Linked DNA regions of Struthio camelus. The protein of the gene in region 1 purifies or fractionates together with the protein of each later gene. This does not show direct contact. Links are inferred from orthologs where the notes say so. Each region holds a gene or a part of one and is shown in the gene's direction. Other genes may lie near its edges.

Region 1 (15,762 bases):
TGGTGCAGCGTGTTGCTTTGTCCCCGTCCGCTCTCAAATGAATAAGAGAGAAAGAGAAGATCGCTCATGAACTGCTCCCTTTCCATATACACACAATATATATTTATATTCTCTTTATTTCCCATGAAAAATTCCAAGGGAAGTAAAAGTTCATGTTGCTAACAGACCACTACAGGATAGTCTTGTCTTTTCCCCCCCTGCCCCATCCCGTACCTCCTTTTTCCGGAAAAGGATTGTCCTTTCTTGCCCCTTAATGTATTATTAAAACAACCCTTTAATAACCTGTTTAATGTCTTGTTCAGGGAGCGCAGAGACACGCCGTCTTTAGTCATCTTCATGGAAAACAAGAAGAGAAGAAATAAAGCTGGAATAGGCTTGCACTCTCCTGAAGCAGTCAGCAACAACATGCACAGGGGATCTGATTCCTGCTGGAGGTTGTTTTGCACTGAGGCTTTTTATAGCCTGCACATCTAAATATAGTTCATAGATGCACAGACACATGTTCATGAACATATTACATAGTGAATTATGCATTTGGATCACTTCCTCTGACCAAGTGATCCTGTCTGTCTTCATGTATAAGATGAATTTGAAGGTGATGTGGAAGGGGATATCTACACTATGCTGGTTTCTAATGTGTTTAGGCTTTATTTTGCTGTAGTGCCTATCACTTCTTGTCTTGGGCCAAAGCCTCCTGGTATTAGAGACTGCATAAGCAAATTTCTTTTTAAGTAAAATTAGATTTGGATGAGAATGACAAGTTGTACTGGCTTGCTGGGAATTACTTCTGACAATGAAGTACAGCAAAAACAAGGCTGTTTGTTAGAATGTCTTCCATAATGGTTGAACAGCCAGTGCTACTGGCTAATTATTTGCAGGAGCTGGGTACACAAAGGCCTGGAAATTTGTTCCATCAAAAATAAAAAAAAGGTAGGTAACGTGTGACTGGTAACATAAATACTGAAGACAGCACACAGACAAATGAATTAAAACAGCAATTTAACCAGTACAACGCATTCACTCTTTGCCTGTAAGAAGCTCAGGACAGCCTGAGAAAATAAGCTTTTTTTCTTTTAATTATCTGCCCATTGCATGGGAAATTTAGCATGAATTAAGCATGTCAAGATCTGAGGCATTCCCACTTTTTACATTTTTCCTGCCTTTAACTTGCAAATTAAGAAGCATTTCTAACAAGCCATAAGGGCCTAATGCTACTTGTTGTATTTAGAACAGCTTTGTGAAACAATGGAAGTATTTGGGTAAGGAAGAGCAGTGCATTTGGCCCTTTCCATTTACTCTGTGATGACTATAAAATCTACTTTGTGGTACAATTTTGCTTAGCCCGTAAGATTGGTAATACCAGCGTGAGCATGAGCTCAAGGGTGCAGTGAAAGATCAAGCATTTATTGAGACAAATGCAATAGTTATTTTTCTCTCCTGGAGTAAATAACATTTTTGAAAGCAAATTACATGTGTAAGATGACTGACCAAGTAAACACTTGTTAACATTTTCTCCAGTTCCTTTGCTTACAGGGTGAAAAAAAATCCAACTGACAGTGACTGTTACAGGGATTTGATTACTCATTAGAGAAGTTAATTTACAAATGTGTTTTTAGTCTTAAAGGCACCCACTGACAAATTAACGAAAAATACACTGTGTCCAATTTAAGCTAACTGTGACACAGTTTAATAGGGAAGGTAAAGTAAAGCACTGAAATAGTTCAGACTCCCTGTACAAATGCAAGGAGCTCAGCCAGTTACATCTTTATTACTGCTCAGCATCCTAATTTAGTATTGTGGGTTTCCCTGTTGAAGTGAATTTCTTCCTCCAATCTTAATTATATCCGGTCAGTTTTGAACTAATATTTTCCCAAATCTATTGAAACCAGTTTCACTTAAATTTAAGACGCAAATTGCCAACTCTACCAGAAAATTTTGAGGTGAATACTAGCCACTGGAAAATACCATGCAAGGTCAGTTAACATCATAAGTATTTGCATGAAATAACACAGCAAATCTCTTGCCATTCCTGAGGCTACAGGAGGTTTCATTGTTCAGTTCACTGTCAGCAGATGTAGCTGACAGTTTGAAACTGTCATTTCAAACACCCTAGGAAATGATTCTTCACCACAAATTTCCTTAAACATTTCAGCACCTAGGCTTCTGGTAATGGATACACAGATATAGAACTACTCTGATCAGCAACTAATACTCTCTTAGAGCCTTTGATCTCTGTACAGGAGATCCAGTTCACCTTCTCTCCATGTTCAATGGTTAGCTTTGGTAAAATTCTAGCATGTTCATTTGAAACCATTTTGTTGGGCTTTCCCTCTTTTTTGGTGGAAGTAGGTGCTTGGGCCTTCTTTCTCTGGAGAGATTTTGCCGGGCTTTTCTGTTGTTTCCCAACACCACTGCTGACATCCCAGAGCAAGACTTTCCCGTCATTTCCTCCAGTCAGCAGCCAATATGCTTCTGGCATAAAAAGGACCTGTGACACTCCCAAACTGTGACCTTTAAATCCTAACTCATGTTCAAACTTAACACCGGTGACCCTGAAGATTCTGACTTTACCATCTTGAGCTCCACAACCAAAGATGTTGCCACATGATGCGACAGACAGGGAATGTGCAAGTGGCGGGTTAAGGAAGTGGCCAGCTGTCTGTGGATTGGCTTCATCCATTTCACAGTCCTGCAAGTTTGTGGTGCACAGTGGACGAGCCTTCTGCAGGTTCCACAGCATAACCTTAAAAAAATTAAGAATTAATGGTCTGTCAACGCAGCGTCTGATTCCTAAGTAAAATCAGATTTTTTCACTAATGGTAAAAGAAATAAGTTATTGCTCTAGCAGATCAAAGACTCTGTACTGAGAGGGCAAGAGATGCAAGATCTGTTGTGAGAAGTGGTTGAACCCCACTGGATAAATAAAGCAAATCTTTATGGCACACTTTCCAAACTGTCACATGCCTTTCCCAATAGAGTTAATGACTCAAACCTTTAGAATGTGAAATGAGTGAAAAAGCTGTTCTAAATGCTTTTGCATTCATCTCAGTAGTAGAAATCATTATATATGGTACTTCTTAATTATTTAAAGAGAAGGGACACAAAAACGTTATCAGTGAATGAAGAGAGCTGTATCATTCTGAATTTTAGGTCTGTCTCTGTTACATACTTGTTCTAAGATAATCAATTAACTTGTTTGAAAAATGAAGCAGCAAAAGGCTAACAGTAGTTCATTCCCTCAATTCTGTACAAATATATGTGTGTCTTTTATAGACAATGGGCAGATCTAGTTGGTGTTATTACTGTATTAGGGCTGAGCACACTTTTCCTGATAAGATATGGAGCTGATGGAGGGGGTTTTAGACTTCCTTTTAAAATGCCACACCACCTTCAGGACCCTCCTGAGGCAATAACTGTGCCTTCAAATGCGCCCTGTGTCTGTTATACAGGTATTCAAGTATTATAGATTTATACTGCATCAGTTAAAACATGACCAGTCATTATTTACAAAAATTACAAATATTATTTATAATAATCTGAATTGATGATTAGCATTTTTAGAACCAACAGATATGGAAGCATAAGTCAGTCTTTAATGCATCATTGATGTACTGTTTGCTTTTCTAATGAGAGTTTTGATCTGTCATTAATAAACATATTCTACCACTAGGCATCTGTAACAGCACTTTTACTTTAGTACCCAAGTCTTTAAATTGGGGCCACAAAAAGAGTCATTCTGGATCTGAATTTACAGAAGCCAAATTACATAGACACATCCAAAATATATTAGTTATTTGCTGTCATTTTTGTGTTTGAGCACTCACTGTTGCAGCTACGGTAAAACTGCTTTGCTCCTAACGAAAGGGAAAACATTCCATGATGACTCGGCAGCATAGAGCAAATTAGAGAGGCCGGGTCTAATGCTTAAGGCAAACAGTCCCATTCTCATCTTTGATAGCGCTGCAAGAGCTTTAGCAAATACATCTGGATTAAGTGGTAAAGCACCCAAACAGTAACAAGCTTTCTGAAAAGCAAGTATCTTACTTATTACAGCTCAGCTTCTCTGTGAAATGGTATATCCTAAAGACAGCCTTGATGTCTGTAGAAATGCTCTTTTCATTGTACAAAAATGCTCATAAATGTCTACTATTTTGGGGGTACTGACTTTCACGTAAAACCTAATTTGCCTATAGTAAAACACACTACAACTAAAAATGTCACAGAAAATAACTAGTTTTCTCACGCTGAAATCTGATATAAATGATTAAAATTCTGATAAAAAGTTTCTAGCCATAGGCTTGTGAATTGGCACGTAGGGTACCTGAAAATACATAACCATTTTAAGGTGCCAAGCATTTACTGCTCTCAAACTGATATTTTGGTATCTCTGAAAAAGAAGTTTCCCAAAGTACTTCATTTAAGATTCTATATCCATCTTTTAGCCAACTGTGTTTGAAGATCTGTCAAAGTCAAAATTTGGAAAACTTCTATTAATCAGCCTCTATTCAACTATATCTACTTACTGAATTTATATAAACCCTGGTCTTAATATGGAAAAATATCACCTATATCAAAATGCATTCACCCTAACTGATGTCAGAGGTACTTTAGTTTTAAGAACACAGGATGAAATTGCTTACAGCTGTCAAAGAAAAATCCATCTTTAACACCACTAAAATCACGGAAACCTTTGGAGAACTGGTAGTTCTAATCTCAGGTATTTTTCTTCTATTGGACACCTTAAGAGGAATCCGTAAAACGGTGTTCTGAAACAGAGAAGACTGCTTATGTCTTTGCAATATTGCATTCTCATCAGATGGAAACTGGATTTTGCAGTGCTTGGTGGTCTCCAGTGAACTGTGCAGACAAGAAGGGGAAAAACAACACCCAAGCATTTCCCCACTCTACAACAGGAAAGTGGTCACACGTCAACCACGGGGAAGTAATTACAAAAAAAAATCTGCTTTGGGTGATATTGGGTGCCAACTTTGACAGTGTAACTCAACATTCCACTAACTCTAGCATGGTTCAGTGTTTCTTCTAAAAATGCTCTTTAGGAGCACGCAAATGACAAAATTTCCACTTGAGGAAGGTAAAAAGGAAAAGTACATTTAACACTTTCAAGATGATACTGTGAACAAAGGATAAAAAATAAATTTATAAAAATAACTTTAATCCTTACAGTGGTACATACCACTTGGATAGATATTTATCTATCTATATTAAAGTATTCTTGCTAGCACCTTGTCAGCTTCAAGTATTTTGCATTTTCCTAACTACCATCAAAATTTTGTTTGCAGCCGTAATTGATCGCTAGAGACAGCCTGTGTTTTTGCTCTGTGAAACAGAGAGGTGATGCAGTTGCCCCATCTTCTGATGCCCTCCCCCTCACTTCTATATTGTAACTATTAATGAAGACAAAAATCGCAAGACTAACTGCTGAGCAGAAAACAGCATTAATAGTCTCAACACTGTTAGCTTCTCTGCCAAAACTACTTTAGGAAAGTTAAAGAGCTTTCCACTGGCTGCAGGCTGTACGACTCTCCCTCTTGTTCTGTGGAAGTGTGGTGAAAGTGTGTTGGGGCCTCACTACACACACGTGTAGTTTCTGTTTAGCTTCTCTAATAACCATATGTCTACTTTTATGCAAATCACCTGCATGTCCAGTCCACAGGAAAGAAGGCTTTGTGGCCTCTGAGGTCGAAAGACAACAGAGGAGCAGATATTTGAGTGTCTCAAGGACCGGCTGACTTTCTTGTTTTCTAAGTCTATAATCTTTATTGTCCCAGAATCATCTGCTGCAGCCAAGAAATTGTCAGTCTCGTTCACTGAAAGGCAACTGATCTCCTCCTCGTTCACTTGGAAGCATTCAGTAGGCTCCTTAAGAGATCGAACATCCAGCAAACTGATAGTTTCTCCATGGGAAGTGTACAGCCTGGTAGGACAGGTGGGAGAGAACACAACAGAGGTAACATCATCTGCCTTACAAAGCTGGAGCTGTCCTACTGGAATGCCTTTTCCATCCCAGATGGTGAGCTCGCCTCTTTCTGCTCCTGAAGCTACCAGCCCTTCCTTGTTTATGTTCAGGCACAGTATAGAGGAGGAATGCCCATCAGTCCATTTGACTGCCATATTTCAGGGCCACCTGTGAAACAAACAAACGGAAAACTGAATTGAGCTGGAGTTGTTCTCATTACGATGTAAAGCTTACCTAAGAAGTGAGATTATTGGGTTGACTCAGTCACACACACCAGATGAAACTCTAGTGTCCAGTGAAAACAGACACCTCTATAGGTAAGTACCCAGGTGGAAGCTTTGGCTCAAGCATTATCAACAGACTACATCAGCAACAACATAATGGGTTGGTAGAAGTGATCGCATATGTGCTTGTGAAGGACATGAATTAGATCTGCTGCTCTGAAGTAGCTACCTAAGTGGGGGTTGCTTTCTCTGCCATTTCTTTGCAGTGAATATGGATATAGTGTGTCTGACGAACTAGGGGCACAGTTTCAAGGGGGGCTTACTGGAAAGGAGAAAGGGGAAGATTGTTACAGTTTGCAGAGAAGTCCTACTGTTCCAGTCTGTGTGAGGGCAACCACATATGAACATACCTTTTATCCAGGTATGGATATGCTAGATAATCAATATCCAACATTAATTTGTAAAGCAACCTTGTAATACCTGGAGTAAAAAAACTTGTGCTGGTGAAAGGGGGATAAACTGATTAATGCTGAAGTGACTACTTTAATTATGGTTTAAAAGCATACATTAGTATGAATAAATTTTAAACTGTTTTGCATGTGTACTTCGTGTTCCCAAACTGAAGTTAATTCTCACTTGACTGGTAAACACTAAAGCATATTTGCCTAAACAGACATACAGTAACACAAGGTGTGTTTGAAAAAAATATCAGCAGTTTAACAAAAGTAGTTACACTGTTTACTGCACATTTACTAGGGTCTTAAAGCAGCATACATTCAGCTTACTGTGCTCCTGGCCCTTTCCTGTGCACTAGCCCATGATAAGACAGTTTAGGGAGCCATGCCAGCAGAAAATGAAATGGGGCGGGGGGAAGGAGGAAGGGAGGGAGAAAAGCAACACAAAAACACAGCAGGTTTGAGCTTGCTTAGCTCCCTGAACCAGCTCACAAGGGCAAAGGAGAGCTAGTACCTGTGCAAGGGAGTAGACACAACATGGGGTTTGCAGGATGGAACTACGGCTGGATGCCAGTGAGCTTAAGTTACCATAGAGCATACTGTAACATTTACCTTTTTATTACATCAGAAAGCAATGAGTGAAGTACTCCTTTTTGTACTATGCTACTTTTTTTGTGTATGTAATTTTTATTCAGCTGGATTTGAAGAGTAGTTAAAATTGATTCTATCCACCGACAGAATTTCAATCTTCTTGATTAAATGAAATTACCCAAAGTGCCAGCTATGTTGTTAGCAAATGATGTTCCTGTATTCAGGAAGTTGAGAAAATTATTTCTGGTTACCCTCTCCCACACTGTGGGACCTAGTACATCTCACTGATATATCTAGTTTCTGGCTTTACAGGAAGAAAACCTTCTCCCAGTTGGTTTCTCAGCTTTTGAATAAACGAGTTATTGAAATAGAATTAGCTCATAATACAGTTAAAAATATGTTTGTATGGCTAGATAAAAGTACTGCTGTCAGTGGCTGTTCCACTGTTACAAGAAACTCTGCTTGCAGTTGCTTACACAGCAAGTTTAGTAAGTTAAAGTTTCAACAGTAAATACTGTGCTCACTGATTCTCTAACTCAATGCTTTTAATTATTTTAGGCCATTAATATAGGTTGACTGCTTAAAGGTAATACATTTTAAAAGGTGTATTTGAATCCAATGCCAGTCCTATTTATTTTAATGCAGTTGTATTCGTGTAGGGGCTCGCAGGGTTCCTGTACTACCAAGTCTGACACCCTGACACTGCCACAAGCAGAAGGAAAGAAAAACGGGGGGGGGGGGGGGCTGTAACCAGAACGAAGGAAGGAGCGTAGAGAGGAAACACCGGAGGATGCTGGGGAAACGCCAAGTCAGGGCAAGCGGAACGACGGGCAGCTGGGCGAGCCGCAGTGCCCGCGGCACGGGGGCGCGCCCCGCCTCGCCTCACCTCACCTCACCTCAGGGGCAACGGCCCCCGCGGCCGCGCGCAGGGCCGCACGGAGAGCGCGTCACGGCCAGACCGAGGGACTCAGAGCGCGGTCTTATTTTAAAAGCCGCCGGCTGGCGTTTCCAGTCACAGAAACTGCGGCGCTCTGCCTCGCGGTGCGGGAAAAGCCACCGGCCGGGCGCGGCCGCGCCGCCCCCAACCGCCGCGCAGGCCTCGCAGCCCCTTCCGCGCGGCGCCCTCACCTCCACCGGCCGCTCCCGCGCCCCGCCCCGCCCCGCGCATGCGCGGCCGCGGCCTCCGGCGGCGCTGCCCGCAGCCGTTATGGCGGCGCCGAGCGCGCGCGTCCCCTCCCCGTGAGGCCTGTGGCGGCGGCGGCGGCGGCAGAGCGGGGCGGGCGCTGGCGGCCGGCGCGCCTGCGGCCCGGGGCCCGCCGCCGCGCTCCGCCGCCCGCCCGCGCTTGCGGCCAGCGAAGCGGGGCGAGCCCGTCGTTTCCCGCCCCCTGCCCCGCGCTGTCGGCTCGCGCGAGGCCGGCCGGCGCGGCGCGGCCCTCGAGCCCCGGGCCCGGCGGGGGGCGCCGCCGCCTGAGGCGATGGCGGCGGGCGGCGCGGGCGGCGGCGGCGCGGCGGCGGCGCTGGCGGGGGGAGCGGGGTGGCGGCTGCCGGGGCGGGTGCTGGAGCTGGTGTTCTCCTACCTGGAGCTGCGGGAGCTGCGGAGCTGCGCCCTGGTCTGCAAGCTGTGGCACCGCGTCCTCCACGGCGACGAGAACAGCGAGGTGTGGCGCAGCCTGGCGGCCCGCTGCCTGGCGGAGGAGGCGCTGCGCACCGACATCCTCTGCAACGTGCCCACCTACAAGGGCAAGGTGGGTCGGCGGGGGAGCCGCGGGGCCTCCGCGGCCTGGGCTGGGCTGCGGGCCGTTGTGCGCCCCGCGTTAGGAGCCGGGCGGGGGGCGGGGGGGAAGACGGTCGATATTGCCCTGCCAGCGGCACCGCTAGAAGGGTTTGGATTGTCCCTTCCTGCCTGAACGCCCTCTCCCTTCCCCTTCTCTGCTAGGTACGTGCCTTTCACCACGCCTTTAGCACCAACGATTGCTCCAGGAACGTCTACATCAAGAAGAACGGCTTCACTTTGCACCGCAACCCCATCGCTCAGAGCACGGATGGGGCAAGGACCAAGATCGGCTTCAGCGAGGGCCGCCACGCGTGGGAAGTGTGGTGGGAGGGCCCGCTGGGCACCGTGGCTGTCATCGGCATTGCCACGAAGCGGGCTGCCATGCAGTGCCAGGGCTACGTGGCACTACTGGGGAGCGATGACCAGAGCTGGGGCTGGAATTTGGTGGACAATAATTTACTGCATAATGGAGAAGTGAACGGCAGTTTCCCTCAGTGCAATAACGCACCGAAATACCAGGTGGGTGAGACTTGGCGCAGGCTGGGAGCTTTACTGTCTCGAACAGCAGCTGTCCTCCAAGAATTTCTTCATAGCATGTAGTAGTTAGCTGCTTGCTGAATTGGTCTTAAGTGGTCATCTAGAGCAAAACGGTCCCTGCAGGAGGTAAATGATGGTGCCGTACAAGGGGTTTCCCCCTTAATGTTTCCTTCGATTATGTCTGTGTGTAATGTTCAGTACAACTCATTCTCTGTTGTTTCCCCTACTGAAGACAACAAATAAACTTTTATTTCAAATATGAAGTGAGGAACACACACTATGGGTGCTTATCTAAAGACAATTGCTTTTTGAAAAAGAAGCTGACGAGGCCATTCTGGCTATCTTAAGTAAAGATTTTGCCTGTCAGTGATATGACTGTGTGTGTGGTAGCTGTGTTATCTTTTTGTTACCCTGCAGTGGGAGTTGAAGTTAGTGCTTAGGTAAGAGTTTTCCTGCAAGAAAATGCAGTAATGCCGAGTGCTGTTTGTTTGCTCCCTGGCACTGTTCCTAAAGGTGACATCTTTAGGCTGGGATGTGATGTTCAGATAAATAGATGTTATTAAAGAGGAAGTGCCATTCTGTCTTTTTGTCCATATCAAAGTGGTTTACCTTTGCTCTCTTGGCCATCTGCACGATGGTTTGACTGCTAGATTTCCTCACGTTACAACTTCAGCCATGCGCAGTATAATGCCTGACTCATAATATCGAAGGTTTTGTACGAATGTTGACTCCAAAGCAGCTTGTATTTCAGTTGTGGGTGAAGATTTGCTTAGGAACTTGTATCTGATGTTCCTAAATTTCACATAAAGGCTCGCTGCCAAGCACTTGATCTGATTTGGTCTGAAGCTTGTACCTGCCATTTTTGCAAACAAAACCTAAAATGAGTGTTTTTAAAGAGATTTAGTTTGCTTTCTATTTGCATGTTTTTTAACATGCAAGTGCACTTTCCAGACTTGACCGTTTGTGGTCATTTTCTGCTGTCTGTATCTAGGCCTTTATGCAGCCACAGGGCAAGAAAAAGTTTTAGAGCCAGGAGAACTCTCATGTGGACTCGAGGGAGAACAGGTCTTGCACTTGCTTTTTTCTTTTTAAAAGTTGGTTAGAGCTCAGATTGGTGATCCTTTAAAGTACTTTATATGCAGTAAAACAAGCACAGTGAGCTGCTTGTATATAATACACTAAAAGTAACTATATGTTTGCTGGTGTTGGAAGAAAAATGTGTTGTTTTGAAGAAAATGCCAACGTTGCAGTTGGCTTGTGGAGAATCAGAAGTTTGTGCTGTATCATGTTGTGCTTGCTGCTGGTGTCTGTGACTTACCTTTACATTTGAAAAATATGTAGTAGGTGAATGCTGGGAGCATTGTGTATGTTGTGATCTGATTATCTTACTGCATTCAGTGTTCTTTTCATTCGTGTGTATATATATATTTAGGTTTTTCATACTTAATTTACCTAGGCTTTGCACTGTAATTTCTTTCTGCCCTTTCTACCAAGGAATCCCTCTGACGATGACAGTACTTGTATAGTCAGTAAAATATTCTGGTATAGTTTGTATGTTGCGCTTACCTGTTTTTAAACAGGTTCATTGTCTTTTAAAATTGCTCAGCACGGACATTACTGGTCAGTGATAGCAACCAAATGCAGGGTTTGGGTAACTTTGGGTGGAGGCCGTTACAAAACTTCCCCAAGCTGCAGAATTCTGAAGTAAATGGCATATGTTATGCTAACTCTCAGTGCTATTGTGATGTTCTGATGCAAAGGGCTACGTTTGTTACTCTGGTGGTTAGATATAGGTTGCCTATTGGAAACTGCCAGTACAGATGCTCAGAATCTTACGTGTATCAGTGAAATGGAGAAGTTCCACGGAAAAAGTAGTGCAATCTTGAGAAACAGGAAAACCTCCCTTTGAGGTGATCTGCTGTACTGTACACGGGCTTTGCTTTATTTTTCATGTCTCTATTTGAATATGTTGACTTTTTCTTTTGTTTTATTTTTCTTCCTCTTCTTATTTCTGTTTCCAGATAGGTGAAAGGATTCGAGTTATCCTGGACATGGAAGACAAAACGTTAGCGTTTGAGAGGGGCTATGAGTTTTTGGGAGTTGCATTCAGAGGACTGCCAAAAGTTTGCCTGTATCCAGCAGTGTCTGCTGTGTATGGTAACACGGAAGTGACTTTGGTGTACCTGGGAAAACCTCTGGATGGATGATGTGGATTGTTTCATTGGGACATCAAGATGTGAATGATTCGGAGGAGAAATCTGCACGTTGATTAGAGGGAAAAGTGAACTAGAAAAAAAAAAAGTGTGGGTTTGTGTCCAAGAACCATCAAGGAAACCATACAGAATTTTGAAATGGAGGACCAGCCATACTTCAGGAATTGTGTCACATTTCCTCTTTCTACCAGGCCAGACATATCCTCAGGGTTGCAGTTGGTTGAGTGGGAAGCTGACACATGCATGTTGCAACAGATTTCATTGCTGAGATGGCAGTGTGTGACCTCAAATATTTAAGGAAGGATTTGATATAAAACTACTTGAGGAAATTAACCTGAGATTTGTAAGTAGCGTGTTTTGTGAAAGACTCCCATTTTAAAACTGCTTGTTCCTTCCCTTCCTTCCTTTGGGCTGGCACAGGTACCAGAGGAGAGTAGGTCTAGTTGGATTTTATTTACAGTTTTTAATATACTGAGAAGCATGGTCTATCTGGACTGCCCTTCTCCAGTAGAATGATATAAAATGTGTGCAGCTATTTTTAAGTGTATTTTAAAGGTTGTATATATAGAACATGTTGAAAAGAACAATTAAAACGGAAGAATTTGCTTTATTCTAACTGGGATATAACTTCTTAAAGGGGGGAAAAAAAAACCCCACTACGTGGCATCAGAAAAACCTCAGACAGGTATATAACATTCATGTAAGGATACTTCTTCTGTTGTATTGTGAAGCATTTTGGGATGCTCTTGTGGAGTAAGGTGCTACATTGGCCCATTTTTGCCTAGCTGAAAGTTTCCATAGCTTTAGCAGTATATTTGTTCTCTGTAAGAAACACAAGAAAATTTCACTATGAGTTTCTTCTCGCCAAAATTTGTGGTCCCTTTTAAGAGTGAAAGGTACAACACTGTAATGAGCTGATCTTCCTTTTGACACCAAAAAATACATATTTTTAAAAGAAATCTTACGCTTTCTAATCACTGTTGTAAAATGAGACTTTCAAAATGATGAAAAATCCACATTCAGCTTCTGAGCTGAGATCTTATTTTCAATTTAATCAGTTTCATAAGGATTTAAGACTTGACTTAACCTAACTTAATTTTGCTTCTTTAGTTAAATAAAATCCCAAGTATTCATCTGCCCATTTTCAGTCAGGACTATTAAAATTCTCACTTCCCTCTGGAGATTCTGGATCAGGTTCAGCATTTGGGATTTTCATTTGCACTGTTTCTCTAAAAACTTCTTACAAAACCAACTGATATGTCAGTGTTACGGCATTCAGCAAGTAGGCTGAAAAGGCTGTGAAGCTTAAGGGTATAGTAAAGAGGTACTTTTTGGTGAAACAGCATTCCTTTGAGGTTGAAAGGTCTGTGGAGATATGGATGTTTGTCAGCCTTCACGCAAAGAAAGCTAATTTAGCCCCCGAAGTGGGTTTCCTTTTAATAGGGCACTGAAATCTGTAAGGCCTGTGGTTAGTTTTTGACTCTCATTTCTTGTTGTTGGTGTTTCTCCAAGTTCAATAGAACTATCTGAACTGTTTCAGAATTACTGATGGCGTGTTTTTTAGGGAGGGAGAAGGAAATGTTTATGCAACCTCTTTTTGTTTTATCTATGCTAGAGAATGTGAATTGCTTAATATCAAACACTGATAAATCTCTGAGTGCAGGAGAGAAGGGAATTTCTCTTAGGTTGCTCATTTTTTCCCCATTACTCAAGTAATGTAAGGAAAGTGGTACAAGCAGATGACTGGGATTCTTAGTCTGCTGCTGAAGAACTACACTTGGGGTGCTTTTTACCTAACAGATAGTGAAGTTCTGCACTGGAGCAGAGTATGTACATTATTACCATTTTAAAGGATTTTAAAGTATTTATTTATGTGTAGTTTATTCCTTAAAGGCAATATCTGCTGAGATCAGTTTCTCTTGTCTGTGTTCAAAAAAGTAAATACACAGGAAGAAATGAAGATGTTTTAAATGGTACTGAGAACAACTAAATAAATGAAGTGAGACTGGTATATGAGTACCTTTTGGAAAAATCTGTTTAAAATGTTGATGTCTGTAGACCGTAAAGTATGTATCTACATAGCAGAACCTGGTGGCATGAGGTAGGAAAAAAGGAAGCAAAACCCTGTCCCATAACAGAGAAGAAAATAATCTCTTAGGTGAATGTATTCTTCGTGCAGTCTTGAAAAACACGACCTCTGCACTTGCTAATGAATCCGAGTACATGTAAATAAAACCCTGAGAACTTCTGAGGGGTTTAATTTGTGAATAAAGATTTCTTTCCAGTCTTCAAATTGTGTCTTACCCTATAAATAATTTCCCTCTAAATTAGAAATGGTGGAAGCTAAACATTCCTTCCTTAAGGGTGGGTTTGGGGGGGGCTCACTTATGTAAGATTAAATTTATTACTGGAGACCAATGCTAGCTGTACAAAATATTAAAATAAACTGCTATAATTCAGAAGGAAATATTTGTGTGATTGTTGTAATGACATTCATGATGTATTGATAGGAAAAATGGAGTAGTAATTTGGTGTGTCAAAACAAATTCTTACCATCAAGAAGATGAAGGTGTTACTGTGTGATTTGCTGCATGAGTGTTCACAAGGAGAGAATCTGGCTAATGGTTATGAGGACTTAAACTCAGTAGTCTAATAACAGTCCTTATGAAATTACATTTTCTGAAACAGGAATGCTCCTGTGTGACAGGAGGGGGAGGGGTAAGAGCTAGCAGCTGGAGGTATCTTGATTCAAATTACCTATCATGAGTTTGCACTACCCTACTGCTGTGTGCAGTGCCTTCTGTCCGAGGACAAGTTCTCAGCTTCTCTGTGTTGAGCTTTCAGTAGGGAGGTTCCGTGTTCCTCAGTACTTCACAGAGGATGTAGGGATTCTGGAATGAAAAAGGGATTTTACCCCCCAGTTACAAGATCCAAGATGAGCGGTGCTGTTTAATGAAAATAAAAGGTATTTTGATATCAGACTTTCTCCACACAATCAGAGCATTGAGGACTGCAGAAATGTTTTGAGAGTTTTGTTCTTTCAGAAAGTCATGAAAGGGATGTGTTCGCTCACACTGTCAGCATTCTTTCAAATTCGGGCCGCTTGCGCTTGAAGCTAGTCTGTTTATGAGAATATTACTGACTAACACTTCCGCTGGATTGGTCGAGTATTTCATTATTCAGCATTACATAGATACGCTTACTTGAAACTTGATTTCTGACTTTTTTCTCACCATCCTTAAAAATTACTGTGAGAGAGGCAGCAGACTTGAATATGAACAATTCAAGGTAGTTTTACTACTAGATCCAATTTAACCCTTCTCCATCCGTATTTCTTTTTAAATGGCCTTACTTCATTAAGCTTGTTACGTGTTCCATATGTGTGGATTTATTCAATTGGAATAAAGTCAAGAATCTTGTCAAACCAGGCACTCCTTTGCTTGCAGATTTTTCTACTTGGTAAAATGTTTTGAGGCCATCTCTGTTCATCTTCCATACTTTGGGACTAGATTACTTAGTAGAAAACAGATGGTAAGATTACCACTGAAAGAACATTGTCTCTGGAAGGCCAAGTCCGTAGCTGCCTTCAGAATAATTCATCCTGTTTTTGTGGCTGGGATAGGACGATCATTTGTATCAGCAATGTCTCTTGGGTAATTTTGAGCTGAGGGTACATGCTGAAGCAGTTCTGCAACTGGTACAGAGATTTCTGAGTAATCTGAATGCCTAGATGTGGAAGAGGGAAGGCAGCAAGGTCTTGTAGCCTGCCCAACCCCATTCTGCAGCGGAGAGCTGGGACTCAGACGCAGTTCTCATCTCTCATCTGTGAGCTATGCCCAGTATGCTTCTTCCCTACACCTCTCCTAGGCTGGTCTCTTTTAGCTATTGATTATACAAATATTTTGGTATAACGAGGATTTTGTGGGTGTAAGATTCATTATGTGGAAAGTCAAGAAGAATGGTCCCCCTGTGCTAAGGTATTGCTGTTCAG
Region 2 (16,225 bases), on another chromosome or scaffold:
AGGAGTGTGTCATCTTGGTGGTACAAGAAGTAATTAGAGCTGCTTGAGTTCAATTCCTAATTTCACTCTTTTCGGGGTATATTTTTCATTTAATTCCTGCATGTTTCTTGTAGTTTGCTAGCTTAGTGCACTGTGACACCATTTTATTTTCTTGTTAGAACTTGTAATGCAAGATACAAATGTGCTTGGGTTACTGAAATCCACACTTTCCCTGAGTTTGACAGTAAGAGAGAAAGAAACATGTCTTAGGCTGTTAACCGTATTTCCTCAAATTAATTCACTAGTTACACTAGAAGGTGCTGAAATATGACGTGCCTGGAATAAATTCAGTGTTGATGTCCTTGCACCAGTGAGCCACCAGCCTCGTGACTATGGTGCGCTTAGAAATATGAGACACTGAAGGAGTGACCAGTCAAAATTCACCCTGACTCATATACTCAGTTTGAACTAAGGGTTTCTCTTTCTTAAAACGTGTGAACAAGGGGGCTGTGACTGTTTTTTTTCCCTCCTCACATCTCAGGCACAGCTGTAATGTATTTAAGCAGTCTGCGCAAAATAGAACAACTTCAGCAAGAAATGAGAGAAAAATCACCACCATAACCTCCCCTTTAAGGTGACCAGAAGAGTTTTGAGGAAATGGAAGATATGGTTTAGAATATGGAAAATCTGTTTTCAAATCTATCTGTAGTAAGCATTAACATTAAACTAATCTTATGGAGCTAGACCACTTTCCTTGTGTGCTGCTACAAATGCCTGGAAAAGAAAATATTATTTTTGGGTTAAAAACATAATTTTCTTTTTTCATGGAGGTGAGAGAAATTGAAAAGCTCTCCCCACCTAATGTGAACGGATTCTTCTCTTGCACAGCTACTAAGCTGCAAAATCACATAGCCTTAGTTTGACGTATCTGTGTGTGTCTGTGCCTGTGTTGGAAGGAGGATGAGAGAAAAATTGCATCAATTTCACTCACTACTTGGTCTCCTGATTGGGCTGGAAAATAATCAAAAATGAGTCTAGCTAACAGAATTCAGTCACCCAGTACCAGGGCAGCTTATTTCTTAACTTTATGTTAAACTATCACCTCTATGAAGTAATTCACCGAAAGGCGGAGCACAATGCCTAAGCTCTATGGCAAAACACTGTGCCGGTAATGGTAATTATCCACATGTAACTTGATATACCTTCTGCAAAACACGTGAGTGATGAAAATAGTGTTGTTTTCCCCCTGCCCCTCCCTCCTTTGAATCAATACAGCTATGCATAAAAGTAACTTTTGCAAACTCACAGTTTGTAGTCTTTTCCCTCTAAAGCGATAGTCAGCATTATTTTAAGTAGCAGCTTGAAGTGTCTCTCTCTTGTTTGTTTGTCCGATATTACGGTAACGTCACCAGGCTGTGCTGCTAGTAATTCAAGTGTGTGTGATGGCATATGTGAGCCCATTCCCTGTATGCAGGAAAGTGTTCTGTCTTGCTTGGATTTATATGTTATCCAAGGAGAGAGGTCTGTCTGAACACCAAATAAGGTGCCATCTGAAGGACTAGTCAGGGAGGATAAATACAACATTTCACAGGCATACTCTTGAGTGGCACAATTAATTTGGGGATTCTATGGACTTGGGGGTGGCGTGTTTTTTAAGTCTTTTGTTTATTGCCTAATAAGCCACACAAGTTAATTTGGTAGTATTATATAAGGAGTTACTTCGCAATGGAAATAACCTTCCTTCAGTGGACCTAAGCCCGCTGTAAACAGAGAGAGGTAAACAGAGAGAAGTCAGTTCACAAGTCTGGGCAGTGAATTTGATGTATTATTAAACATGATAGCAGTCTTATAGGTGAGGATCTGTGCCCTATTTGCTTTGCAAACAGACTAGCAAAAAAAAAAGAATAGGGAACGGAAGAGGTGTGCTTCATATCAGAGACAAAAAAATAGAAGAAAATTGTATCTATAGATGTCAAACCATGTTAAGTCATAACATCTGAGACTTCACAGTCCTCAGAGGTGGTGTCTCCATGTAAATCATGCTACAGCTCTAAGAAAAAGTAAATAAAGGAAAAGAAAGCTTAAGTATAAGGTACAAAAATAATAGAATTTGGATTAATCTATACTGAAGAATGATCCGAGGGAAATGCTCTAAAGCAAAGCCTTCAAAACTGTCACAGGCACAGCCCCTGATGCTTCTAAACATAGGTAGGAGAGCAAAGACGTTCACAGAACAAGAATTTGGGGGAGGAAAGAGGGTAAAGTAAATAAACTCCTTGTTTTGAGTTGGAGGAATGGGATTGAGAAGGGGTAAGGAGAGGGGAAGCCAGCTGGATCCTAGATTCATTCCATACCCTATTAAGTCAGTAACAAGCCTCCAGAACAAAGATCCACCTCCTAATATACTACGAACATGTTACTAAAGCATATGAGAAACTACACTACCTCATGGTAGAATTAGCAAAATCCATACACTTGGATGCAGGCCATTTAGCATGGTAAGCTGTAGAGAGCATCCCATAAATAATGGCTGAGTAGGCTTTGGCCAAACACTTTCAAATATGTCAAAACACAAGTTGAAAGAGAAGTAGTGGGCTGCCTATTTGCTTTTGGTTTAACTGTTTATAATCTGCTCCCAGAAGTGTCAGGAATTGCCCTTGTTCTAGGGACCATCTGAAATGTGTTAACCCAGGGTTATTCTACTCAAGTAGAATAAAAGTTAAAAACACACCTATGGATGTGGAAATTTCTCACTGGCTGATTTAGTGATGTATATTGGTAAGGAAATCATCTCTCAATTGATTAATGTAGTAGTCTTTAGTACTTATAAGCCAATGAGGCAAAAAGCCTCCAAGAATAAAGTAGCTGGTGCAACAACGGGTATACGCATAATGCTCATTCATGGTCTAGTGACTGCAATGTGATGATTCAGATGTAGAAAGTGTGTGTTGTTTGACCTTACAGCTGAGAAGGTTGACTGAGCTACTCATATAATCAAAATCCTGTGAGTCTGTGTGTTTAAAAGAACCAAAATTAAAAGATTTAATTTAATTTATAATTGCTCAAGAAAATTATTTAAAGTAACTTACACTGTTAGTAAAAGTATGTCTGCATATAGATGTGTGGCATTTTAAGCAGTTGTACCCTATAACACTTTTTTGCTGTAACATCCTTTCACCTTCCTATCTAGACTTCCAAAACTTCCACTGACAAGTGAAAGTCCTACATATATCCCTGGCTCCCTGGCTCCCTGAGAATTTGAGATTCATGAATTTGAGATTGACCTATTTTATCCATTTGAGAAGACTCAATAATATCATTTCAGTCTTGTGTGAAAACATAATAGAAGGGGATATATAATCTTATCCCACTATTCTTTCTGGGATACTTAAGGTTATTGTTAGCAGATTAACTTGTTTGAGATGTTAAAAGAATTTTTTTCTCCCAAGCCAATAGAATGCAGGTGTGTTCTGTATCTTGTACAGGATGCAAGATTTACAGTCCCCACTGAAATGTTCCTCACATAGCTTCTGGCAGGACACTGGACTTCACCTAAGTGTTCTTTCTAATCCGTGTATCTATGGTAGGACTTCTGAATGGGATTAAATCTTACTCTGTATTCTATTTCCTTATCCTATACAACATGCTAATAAATTATTCCATGGGATCTAATCCCAACTACTCTTATTTACTGTAATGCTAGTCCTATCACCATGTTACAAGTAAAATGTTGGGGCATTTTTTGGGGGGGTGGGGGTGGGAGGGGTGATCTCACTACTGCACCTGAGGGAAGTCACTACCTTAACTTCAAGACTTGATATATATGGTACGTTATAAAACGTTTAAGACGATAGCTTTTACGCTGCAGGATTTTTTTGCATACTTTTAAGTGAGTTTCAAAGAAAAAAATTTAAAGAAAGGAATGTAGTGAATTAAAGGATAAACATCAGCAAAATAGAAAGTAAAAAAAGACAGACGTTGGAGAAGGGAGCTTTTGGACAGAAGGCTCTGTGGAATCTGTGACAGCCAGCATTCAAAATAAAAATGGTCATTTTTTTCCCCTTTAGCAGGTGTCTGTAATTAAGTTTAGGAAAACTTGACTTGTAAAATACATGAGCAAATACAGATATGAGGATTTGCTAAACTGGTTTTGAACATCTCAGTTTTATTTTTGTTTATATGTGCTTCATATAGACATTAAACATTGGGAAGTGTTAGAAGGTGTCACTGTTGGACCTGGAAAATAATCAGGTAGACAGGTACAAGCATCTCCATTGTAGGAATGGATAAGAAAGCATTTTCTCTAATGCGGAGAGAGCACAGTCCTACCCTGTCCTCTTTATAAATAATCTATTATTTATAATAATTTAATACATTAATTATAATTAATTATAAAAGGCACAGGATAGGAGCTATGTTGTAAAGTTCTTTTTTTCCTTTAAATATAATAAAATCTCAAAATAAATGCTGGCATTTAAAATATAAAAAGTTGTATATTTGTGAGCAAAATGATAAAACGGACTTTAGTTTTGTTGAAACTACAAAATGAAAAACGGTCCCTTTAACTAATCACATTAGCAGTGGAGCTGTAGGACTAGGTACTTAAACTTAGGTATCTCTTACCATGTCTTGTCTGCTTCACAAGACATCTTGATAATGACAGAACTTTAGTGACCAACAATTTTCTTTTTCACTGTTATTAGTTTAAGTCCCCATTCCTGGAGAAAATCTGAGAGCAAGAGGTAGCTGCTGCAGGTGAACAAAGAACTCTAAATAATAACCTGATTGTAGTAAATTGCAAGTTCTAGTGCAGAAGTGCTGAATTCTGTTCTTCACAACTCTCCCTGACTGCAGTTAACTATCTAGTTTACATATGTTGAAGTTATCTTATTCCAGACTCTGCTTGCTTTTGAAGAAATTACTATATTGTTTTTTTATGAGATTTTCAAAGTCTACACAACCAAGGCCTAGAAATATAATTCAAAAGTGAAAGGGTGAGATGCTGAAATCTTGGATGTTTGCCCTTTACATGCCATGATGTAGGAGAGGGGAGCTTTTGAATTACGTCAGAAATTCTTGTTCTGCTGTGTAGAAACTCATGTTAATACAACACTGATCAGTGTGAGCGGTGACAGTGAACGTGACCGGCCATCAGATTCTGACTCTGAAGGACTTCCGAACAATCTGTTCCTCTAAAACTAACTTATGAAGGTACGAAGTGGAGGCATTGAACTGCTAGAAACCCCACCTCAAGGCAAAAGGAAGAAGCTGACTGGAAAAGTATTTCATTCTGTAACAGCAAGCAGCAGATGATAGCAAAAAAGGAGGAGATGATTATTGTCAGAAGCAAGCACTTAATGCAAAGCACTTAATGGTTATTTTCATTTGACGGAAGTCATGTTTTGGCGGTACAATAAATTTATCTTTTAGGCATCTACTGCTGTATCAGATCTCCTGCACCTACATAAAGCAAAGGGCTAATCTGATGCACTTCGATTAACCAAAACTACCCTACTAGTTGTTTTAAACAAATATAAATCTGTAATCATTTCATCCCAGCTGCAGAAGTACTGGCAATACCAGTTCTGGGATAAAGCTGATCCAGATGTGTACTGTTGACTGTTTTTACATTGCATGGATCTGGTATTACCCAAATCAGTCTCAGAGAAAGAACATGAAATGTGAGTACTGTACCTCACACTTTAAAAAAAAAAGAGGAAGAGGAGAAAAAAAAGGGGGGGAGGGGCAAAGCACGTTCCTCATTGGAAGAACAAAAAAAGTGAAAATATTGCTGTGTTCCACAATAGCCTCACTAGGTGTCAATCATTTTTGTATTGCAAAAGCAAAAAGAGCTTGGAGATGGATGTATGGATGACCCAGAGTTACTCTTCCTCGGCAAACGCCAGCTGTATTGTCAAACATTATTGCTCATCATAGGCTGAAACTTAAAGGAGGACTGTACTCTGATCCTATGGATACTTAAAAAGATTCCTCCCCTAAAAAGCAAAAATACTTGAGATGAAAAACACACGTATAATAGTAGTTGCAGCTTGCAAAGAATACTGTTTGCCACACTGTGTGCAGCTCTGTACAACACAAGCCCAGACAACTTCTGGAGTTTGAAGCAATAAGCAAGAATTGCAATCAATTGCATCACTTCATAAAAGTGTGCCGGCGCTCTGCTTTTATGGCGCACACATTAAGAGAGCTACAATAACAGCATTAGTGCCGAAGAAGCATTCTGAGAGGACAATGCTACAGCAGAAGATAGCCAGCCAGCGCACACTTGGTGAGGGAAGAATTACTATTTGGATGTGAGAGAGGCAGCAGCTACAAGAACACCCCCAAATGATCTGAAACTTGCCTAACAGGAATGATTTTAGGTAGCTGCTGAAAGAGGTGCTAGAAACACTTAATAATTCCCAGAAGCAATACAATTTTTTGGTAGTTACCACCAGATGACATGCAGCATGGTTTCTTGTGGCTCCTCGTCTCACTGCTGGATTATCCTTTTCTGGTCTTTTTTTTATACACTACACTGTAAGAATTATGATTGAAGACTTTTTATGTAGTTAGTATTTTAATACCTCTCTTTGGCTGGACCCTGGTGCCTCTATCTGCATTTAGGCAGTAGCTTTTTCTTCAGTGATGGCACTAATTTGGCTGTCTCTCTGCTTCCTGGACAGCTGCCTTTTAGAAAACTTGTATGAATTCATTACTTTTGACATTCCATTTCTCTGCAAAGAGTACTTGAAATTTGGCTGGACTGTGTAATTATTGGTGGGCTATATGCAAGTTTAAAAAATGACACGTAATTCACCTGTATTTGCTGTTACGCAGGAAGGAAGTGTTGGAGAAAATATTTCTCTGTATTCAGCATCTACATCTTGCCAGGCTTTTTAGGCCCTCTTTTCAAAAGAGAAAATATGATAGCATGCATCTTCTTTGGCTGGTAGTTTTTCTGCAGACTGCAATCCAACCTGCATTTGGCATGCAGACTTAAAAACAGTATTTTTTTGTTTGCCCCCTTTTTTTTTGAAGTGTGCTGTCATCTGTACAGCTGAAGTTTTCAGCTCAGTACTGCCGTAGAAGGTGCGACCAACAGCTTCGAGCAGCAATGAAGGAGCAGGGACACAGGCGGCAGGGCTAAGATTAACATGGATGAAGAGCGAAATAGAAGACGAAGGGAATGCAAGAAGGTAGTCTAGAATTAAGAAGAACGTATAGGAAGATAGAGTAAAAGCATCTTGGAGCCAGCAAAGACAGCTTAAGGAAATTGAGGCCTAATGTAGCAATTGAATTATACAAGAGTGTATAAATCAGAAAAAGAGTGTTGTTCCTCGAAGGGGTCCCGGTCAGGCAGTGGACACAAAGCAGTCGCTGGCGGAGCAGGGCTCAGCTGCTGCGGCCACGCACCTGAGCGGCACGCGGCTGCCGCCCCGGCGCGGGGGCCTCGTGGCTAGGCCGCGAGGGCCACGGCTGCTGAGGTGGGGAGCGCGTGCCTCCTGCCCAAATACCGCGCGATGCCCAAGTAAAAGACAGAGCCCCTCTCCCCCCCTTTCAACACCCAGGGACGACAGCCGGGATGGGGGGGGCGAGGAGGCGCTGGGCCCGCCGGGCTGTGAAACGAACCCCCCGAGCGGCGCTGGCCTCGCCGTCCTCCGCCGCTAACGGCGGCACAGGCGCTCGCTAAGGCGGCGGGAGCTGCCGCGGCTGGGGGGGGGGGAGGGAAGCGCCAACGGCCGCCGGGCGGGCGGCGGCTCAAGCCAGCGCAGCAGGTGCCAGCGCCTGCCCGGCCCCGGATTTCCCGGGGGCCGCGCGGGGGGAGGAGGGGCGGGGCCGCACTGCGCATGCGCCCTCCGCCCCGCCTGGCACACGGCGGGAGGTGGGGCCGTGGCGGCGGCTGTGCGGCGGCGCTGACGAGAAACTCCGGCGGGGAAGCGGCAGCCGCTGGCCTCCGCCCCCTGCAGCGGGAGGAAGAAGCGAGCGGCCGCCTCCATCTCCTCCTCCTCCTCCCCCCCACCCCGGCCCCGCAGACGCGCGGTTCGGCCCGGCCTCCGGCGGGAGGGGGCCGCGGCCGGCTGTGCGCCCGGGGCGGGGCCCCAGAGCCGCGGCTGAGGGGAGGAGAGGGGGTACTCCCGCGCCCCCGGCCCCAGCCCGGGTGGATGAGCGGCCTCGAGGGCGGCGGCGGCCTCTCCATGGCTGGGCTCCGGCGGTGAAGGCAGCGGGAGCCGCCTGTGTCCGTGTCTCGCCGGGAGGCAACTTAGCCACCAGGGGGCGGGTGGGGAGGGGGATGAGCGCTGCAGCCGCCGCCGCCTCCTCCTCCTCCTCCTCTGCGGGAGCCGCCGTCGCCGCCTGCACCGGGGGCGAAGGCGGCTTCTTCTTCTTTTCCAGCGGCTCTGGTGCGGCGGGGCCCATGGGGCCCGAAGAGGGCTGTGGCGGCGGGCTTGGAGCCCTGCCTGGAGCCCTGGCGCCGCCGTCGCTGGGCTGCCGGGGCCGCTACCAGCTGCTGCTTTCGGGGAAGGCCCTGGCCGAAAGATACCGGAAGATTTACACGGCGGCGCTGAGCGACAGGGAGCTGGGGAGTCACCCGGGCAGGTAACGTGTGCCGATCTCCCTCCCGGGCGAGAGGGATGCGGCCGCTCCTACCCCGGGCTGGGGGAAGACCCTGCCGCCGGTGCCTCTCCCGTCTCCTGCCCTTCCTTGCCCTCCTCCGCTTCCCTGACATGCGGCGCAATGGCCTCTGCTGGGGATAACGTGGCCTTGGAAGGGGGGGGAGGGAGGGAGGGAGGGGGTGGTGATGTAACCCCGCTGCTCTCCGGGTACCATCCCCTGGCTGCCGCCGAGGCCCTGCCACTAGTTTGGCTGGCGGTGCCGTGCAGATGGCGCTGCCAACCCGTCCCCCCCCCCCCCCCCCCCGGCCAGTGCAGCAGTTACCTGTGCTTGTTTCCCCTCCCCCACCGCCGAGACTTGGGGCTAGATCACGCCCTTTTCGTGAAAGATAACCGTGTAAACTCCGCTCCTCCCATCCCTTTGCGGCCACCAAGGTAATAATTCATTTCCTCATAGTTTCCATGTTGAAATCCCGGGTAAACAACTAGCCCTATGGCCAGGCCTTGAGTCTCGCTGCTGTCAGGGTCTGGCGTGGCAAGTCTGAATCTTATGTTTTCTATTGAGACCTTTTGCTGCCTCCTTTGCACAGCACCTGCGTGTCCTCCTAGTGGGGCCATCCAAGTAAGCGGTCTTGCTGTTTTGCCTTATGTCAGAACAGCCTCTACCTGTCTCGCCTTATTCCTTGCGGTGATCTCCTCCTCTGCCCCCGTGTCGGCAGCCTAGGTATCCTCCAGCCTGCATGTCTTGCTACCCTGTGTCTGGAGAGGGACCACATCCCAGCTGTAGGCAGCTTTTTCCCCGGGTAGGAGGCGGGGGTGGGGGGGGAGAAAGGGTGTGTCATCCCTCCCCCTTCCCAGGACCTCAGACGGATGATGCACCCAGGGACTGCCTTTCTCACAAGCAGCTGCCCCGTCCTGCTTGCCAGTTTTCACCCTCCTCCATCCTCAGGCCTGAACAGGACCCGCAGGACCGTGCGGGTGCTTTTCCCCAGGGCTGCCTCGCTGCCTTCCCCCCGCCGGCCGTGACACGCTGGCTATCCCAGCGCAGCCCCAGCTGGGAGCCTGCCGCTTAAGGCTTTGCCGGAGAATCCCCCTGCCTCGCCGGCGGGGAGGAGGCCGCCGCAGGGGCGAAGGCGACAGCGAGGCGGGCGGCGGCGATAAAGGGCCGCCCGGCACGTGCTGGCGGGAGGGGCGGGGGCGCCCGGCGCGAGCCGCCTCCCTCCCCCCTCCTTCCCCCCCCCCCCCCCCGCCGCCGCCTAGGCGGCCGTTAGCGGGTGCCGCGCGCGGCCGAGGCGGCGGCCGTTGGCCCGCGGGGCCCGGCAGGCCGTTAACCCGCGGCGCGTGCAGCGCCCCGCCCAGGGCGGCGCTCCCGGGCCGTGGGGGGGGGGGGGTCGGCAAGGGGAAGGCGCCGGGCCGCGGGCTTGGCGGACGCTGAGTGACGGAGTGAAACGCGGCGCTGAGGGCGGGGTGAGGGGCTCGCAGCAGGAGCCCTGTCGCGGCGGCCGCTTTGTATGAGGGGGCCGACGGGTGGTGCTGCCTTGAGCCCTTTGGGGCTCGTCCCCCCCTCCGTGAGCGGTGCTCGAGTGCTCCCCGTTGTTTTCCTCTGGGGTTTGTTGAGGGCGTGGATGACATGAAAAGAGCACGTTCCCGTGTTTGCATCCTTTACTGGTATTAAGCTGTGGTGTGGGTGCCCTAGTCCCAGTATGAGTATTAAGTCACCGTTATTTGAAGTTTGCAAATGGTTGTAAAGCACTGGGTGGTTGTGGGGGGGAGGGGTTCTATTTTTTTCTTACTTTCTCCTTCTAGTTTCTTATATTATTTTACTCCTGCATGTATCCTTCTTGGTGGAGCAAATAACCCGTGTTATTCAAGTCACTCTGGAGAGAAAGGAACTTTCTCGTTTTGCTTTTCGCAAACGCAAAAAAAAGTGGACTTTTCAAACACAGGCATGTGGCATCTTTGCAATTACCTGATTCTGTTCAGAGTATGTGATAGGGAAACTAATTTCTTTGATTCGGTGCTTGTAAGAGTTTCCTTACTCTTATAATCTGTAGTTCAGTGCTCATACTTTTTTCTCTTAACTGCTCTTTTCCTACTCGGAGTCCTGTATTATGTAATCCTGCTACTGCAAACACTAAATGTAAGGAAACTTAAGCTTTAATCAACCGTGTGGTTTGTTCTAAGGTGTTCAGACATTTATCTGAACTTTACTTGTCTATATATTTTTTTAAAGTTTTGGATTTGTTGTGTTCTCGGTGTTTTTTTTTTGGTTTCAGGATAATTTAACTTGTATCTTTTCTACTTAACTGTTGTGGAAAATACTAGCTTTGAGTGTGTGTCAATTTTGATGTTTCTTTTAATTGACGTTCTTAAAACATTTGCCTCCAGGATAGCGTAGATTGCATTCTTCTTGGATCTGTTTGTTACTGAAACATTGTTATGGGAATGTCAACTAGAGTTGAAAGAGTGAAATTCAAAATTACTATATATCTTTCTTTTTGAAGGCTAGACTTCATCATATCTTGGCTACATTGTGTCATCTTAGAGCAGATCAAAGAAGCCAGAATCCTCTACAGAGGGAAAACAGAATATAGCAAGTGAAGAACAGCTAGTTTATGTTTGTGAATGTAGCCAGTCTGGACTGTTGAACTTCTAAGAGGATTAATATTTAATAATCAAATAGTTGTCCAATATCTCTTGATACTGACCTCCAAAGTCTATTGTATCATACTTTCTAAAGAGATGCTTTCAAGTAATTTGTGATTGCATCTAGGTATCACAGTAGATAACAATATCAGATGGATTAATTCAAGATTAAGACACTATAGGTTATAACATGCATCTTGATTTGGTTTTTGTCTAGGTGGAAAATTGAAGCCTCTAAAGCTCTCGTTAACAATGTTTGTGACTAGAAAAATATCTTGAAGTAGCTTAAAAATTAACTAATAAAATTCTTCCTGTGTTCAGAGGAAACTCTGTTTTGAGGAATGATAGTGTAACCTGTTTGTAGTATGTTGACACAGAGTTTTTGCTTCAAGCATGCAAAGTAACATTCCACCCTTACAATGGTGTGACCAATGCTTCAGGGAGCACTTTATCACAAACCTGACCTTGATTTTTATGAAGAACTAGAAAGCAGTATCAAAATGCCCATGCATAGACAAGGAAAATTAAACGTTGTGGGGATTACTTAGTGTCACATGTAAGATTAATTTCACATTTACAGAGTGTTTGTTTGAAAGTAGTAAGTATTACGTGTTGAATGGGATGTAACCATTGGCTTTAACAAAGAAGTAACAATGCTTTGCGTCCCTTATGTGGTACAGGCCATGATGTCATGAACACTTTTGTCTTTAAAAGAAACAGTTCCGTTCCTATGCTTGTTCCCCGCTCTGTGCTGATGTACTTATGTATGTAGCCTCTTGCAGTACCAGGTTAGAGACCTACTCTGGGTTAAAATTAACCCAGCAAACATGGTTTGTTTTAATCCAGATTAATTCCCCAATCTGGCTCACCTTGCAATTTTACCTGTGCTTGTGACAGCACGAGGGGAAGGGTTGCCCAGGAATTTATGTAGACAGGTGGGATGAGAGAAGCTGCTGCTTTTGTCACTAGTGTCAGCTTAATATGTTTATGAAAGGAAAGCAGAAAACAGTATCTGATCTTCTCATGTACAACCATCTTCGGTCAGATGACAACTTTAGGAGTATATTATAGTACTATTAACTGTTCAAAATTTGCTTGTCGAGATTTTTTTGAAAGATAAATCTAATTTGATTATACTTAATTTGTGATCTGTTTTGTGGCTGCTGAAGTAATTGAAAATGACTGGTAGTTGCATAATAGCTGGTATAGCCATGAAGGTCTGTAAAACACCAGCAGAAGGTATGAGCTCTGTTTAGAGGGCAAGTAAAACTTCATGTTATTGGAGTATTGTGTTTCTCCTGTGCTTGGTATTGAGTAGATGAAACTGCAAGTCTGCTCTATTGAAGCTAATCAAAGACAGATAACCATGTATTTTTAATGTTGAAAGTTGCTCATAGCTCAAAGAAGAAGGTCTCTCTCTCTCTCTTGTGCGCGCATAGTTCTGATATTTCTTATACTTATTACTAAAGATAATGCCGTCCTGCTGATAGTCTTCAAGTTCTTAATTTGTTCTTTACAAGAAGTTTGCTAGAAACGTGCTATCAATTATTTTAAAAATAGTAACCATTTAAAAATACAAATGATTTCTCTGGGTTACCTTTTTTGCCCATCCCTTCTTTATTAGACTTGCCTCTTTTAGTTTAAATTCTTCACAGGAGGAAAAACTTCTATCTGTATTCTGGGAAAAAACAAATCCAAAGTTGTGAAGTGGCTTGCCTTGAGAACAGGGAAAATTCCAGTGACGACTGGAATGTAGGATTTCTGCTATTGACCTTCTGCTTGTTTTTTCCAGCCATTTTGGCTGAAGAAGAAGCAGCCAACTTCTTCATACTTGGTGATAAAGGGAATTTTTGGAGGTAGGCCAACTCATCTGCACTCTTAGTGGTAAATTATGCATCTATTGGGGCAAACTGATCTCTAATTTAATGTTTATGCATTTCAGAGTTGACCCTAAATCTTCCCTTTGCTGAAAAATGCAGTATTGATTTGGCCCCGGAATGTTTTTAATGTTTACTTTTCGGAATTTCATTGGAGAAGGGCTACTGAACTACTTTTGCACTGCCAAGTTAATAAAAAAAATTTGTAGAAACAGTGTTTTGTGTTTAGATGTGTGAAGTTTGTGTTGATTTGGTTGTTAGTATACCAGAAAGCCTTAATTTCTTAAGATCTGCAGCCTTTACAAAGCTGTTAGCTGTTTTTGGTTTGAAATTTGCATTTTTTAAATGAAACTATAATTCCAGAAAACTTGGAAGCTTTTGTTTGAAAAGCTGAAGGTTATGTGTAAAGACTAATAAAATAAGGAGATGTTAGTGCTTCTTATGAAGTATTGTGTGTTGCATTGCCTCTCTCTTTATTTTTCTAAAATAAGATTTGCTGCTCTGTTTTTTTTTTTAATTCTAATGTTTTATAAACATTGTTTTACAAAAAAGAAGTTGAAGTTAGTCCGTGTGTAAACTTAAAACTATATTTTGTTGGACAATTGATGTGCTGTTGGGTCCTACATTAAGCTAACTTATGCTTCAGAAAAGACGATAAGAGTTGCTGTCTGCTTTAGACTTTTTGTTTGGAATATAATAGTATTTTGCTTGTTATTTAATCCCTGTTAACCCATAGCACAATAAACTATTAATCTCGTGCGTTTTAGTTATTTGTCAGTTTTTTCGTAGCTTTTATTTTAAAGGCACTGTAGTAGACACTTAGACTAAGTCTAACAGGGTTTCTATTCATGCGGTGTTAGCATAGAAAAAAACAGTTATAATGAAAGCTGGAAAGAAGCAAGTAAACTGCAAAATTATTAATAAATCAAGGAAATAGAATTCAGGATGGAAAACTGGGGCAAAAGTTTTTTAGATGTTTTTAAAAGGACAAACTGAGTTCTCATCATGAAATTGCTTGGAGAGGCTTAAGATATATGTCATTTGAGAAATTAGAAAACATGGAATCCATGAGGGGAGCATTCAGATTTTGTGGGTTGCTGGAAATGAACCTTCTTTTCATGAATACAGAGGTGGAAGTCTCATTAGAAGTCTAGTGATGCTAAAAGACACCTTTATCATCTTGTGTAGTCATTCATTCTTCTGTTTCTTATTTAGCAGGACAGTGTGCAGTTTAGGAAGGAATTAGTACATATGATGGAATCACGCTTTGTGTCTTTGTTGTTTACTAAATCATATATGAAGCTTTTGCCTTTCAGTCACAAGTTTGACTATAGGCTATGGCTAAAATTGAACAGAAGCTCCAGAAGGGCTGTCAAACTGGTCTTTTTAGCTAAGGGGGTGTGGTTGTAGGTCAAGTACCAGCAGCTATTATATACTGTTAATTACATTACATGACTATATACTGTTAATTAATGACATTCGGGATCTTTACTTGTGGAGAAAGAAAACAATTAGGTGCAGAACATATCAGTTTGTTACCGAATTATTTGTATCGGTACCCTGACCATTTCACTATAATGTCTTGATTATTGTTGGTTAAGCCTTTTTTAGTGTTTTAGTAATATGGTAATTACCTCCGGAAGTGTCTTTCTAGCGTGACAACTAATGATGGTGGTAGATTGCTGCATCTTTTCCTACTCCCGTTACTGGCTCTTGAGTTGCAGCTTTGGCATTTGTGTAGATACTTTTCAAGCATGGATATGCACTTATGTCATTTTCCTTTATTGCTAGATGAATCCTTGATGTTTGTCAATCTCTTGATGTTGTTGCCACCTTTAAGGATCTTGCTGGCTTAGCATGCTCTGAAGTACTGCGTTTAATGTGCCTTAAACTTTGAGATGGTTTGTCCTTTATAAATATTGGGTTTGGGATTATTGACGGGGATGTTTTTGTGACTGATTGTAGGCGTTAGGGTCTGTACAGTGTCAAAGTTTTCAGCTATGGCAACACATCTTGCTCAAGCATTAGCGTTATATTAGCTCTATATGAGCTCACTTTGCATGAATTTTATTTTCTCTGTAGATAACAAAATGTCCTCTTTTCCACTTTAAACAAACAGATTTTTGCCTGAGTATTCTACTGAAGTTCACAAGAATTTGGAATTTTAATATGCAAACATAAGAAAATACAACTTTTAAGTGGGATGGAAGGAGAGGAACTGGCATATTAGATTTGCAACAGTTGTGATTTACTGTTTTCTTAATATTTTAACCTGTGATTGATTTTTCTAATTTATTTCAAGATGAGCCACACCTGGCAAGTCAAGGAATAGTCAAGAGTTATTTTGCTTAATTGAAATTGGACTTACCTTTAAAAAAAATTTAAGTAATGAGAGTTCTATTGGCAGTTTTAATATGAGGGCCAATATTCTATTCTCAGTAATCTTCAGACTTTCTAAGCTACATGGCCCTGGGAGATTCTTCCACCTCCTGACTTGAGACCATCTGTGTATGTGTTCCAGAGTCTCGTATTTTTTTTATTTTTATTTTATTATAATTATTATTTACTAGAGGAAATGCCTGTTAACATTTCAATTTCAATTATGCTAACTGCTCTGGCTTGCTGATGGTCTGGTAGGTGGCAAATACAAGCAGTTCAAGTTATGCTGCAGTCAAATGTAGCTGCAGCAATTTAAGAAGTTAACCATCCCCCACTGCTAGCTGAAAAGAGTGCTGTAAATGGCCTTTCTGCTTCCTAAAATCTTGACACTGAATTTGAGCTTCTGGTATGTTAGCCATCTCTCTCCCCAACCCCTCCGCCTTTCCCGATAATATTTTCAAGATACTTATTTAGTAAGGTCTTCTCCTGGCATATGATTACAAATATGTTTTACCAAATCTGCAACTTAACAGTATTTGTCTTTATAAAGAACACCTATGACATATCAGTAATATAATCTTTCATATTGAAGACACGCATTGCCTGTGTTAACTTTGGGCACTTGATCCTTTGCATCATCTCTCAAATACATAATTATATTTTTGTCTTTTTCCTACCAACTTGCCATAAACAGTGCTTCAGACCGAGGTACTGTTTGGAATAGCAGTATTT

What was found.
Region 2: the proteins of FBXO45 (region 1) and MYCBP2 purify together in Homo sapiens (affinity purification with western blotting; 7 studies listed by BioGRID and IntAct, with this or other methods). This does not show direct contact. The link is inferred for Struthio camelus from reciprocal best matches to the Homo sapiens genes FBXO45 and MYCBP2.

What each region holds. Positions count from the first base shown.
Region 1 is NC_090950.1:2,491,647-2,507,408, forward strand, and holds FBXO45 (F-box/SPRY domain-containing protein 1), read left to right. Parts: upstream 1-8,722; coding exon 8,723-8,992; intron 8,993-9,183; coding exon 9,184-9,540; intron 9,541-11,579; coding exon 11,580-11,765; 3' UTR 11,766-14,238; downstream 14,239-15,762. Other genes in the region: WDR53 (WD repeat-containing protein 53), read right to left, coding at 2,156-2,743, 5,656-6,132. UniProt on the Homo sapiens protein: Component of E3 ubiquitin ligase complex consisting of FBXO45, MYCBP2 and SKP1. Functions in substrate recognition but also plays an important role in assembly of the complex.
Region 2 is NC_090942.1:176,666,945-176,683,169, forward strand, and holds the start of MYCBP2 (E3 ubiquitin-protein ligase MYCBP2), read left to right. Parts: upstream 1-8,081; 5' UTR 8,082-8,272; coding exon 8,273-8,577; intron 8,578-16,225. UniProt on the Homo sapiens protein: Atypical E3 ubiquitin-protein ligase which specifically mediates ubiquitination of threonine and serine residues on target proteins, instead of ubiquitinating lysine residues.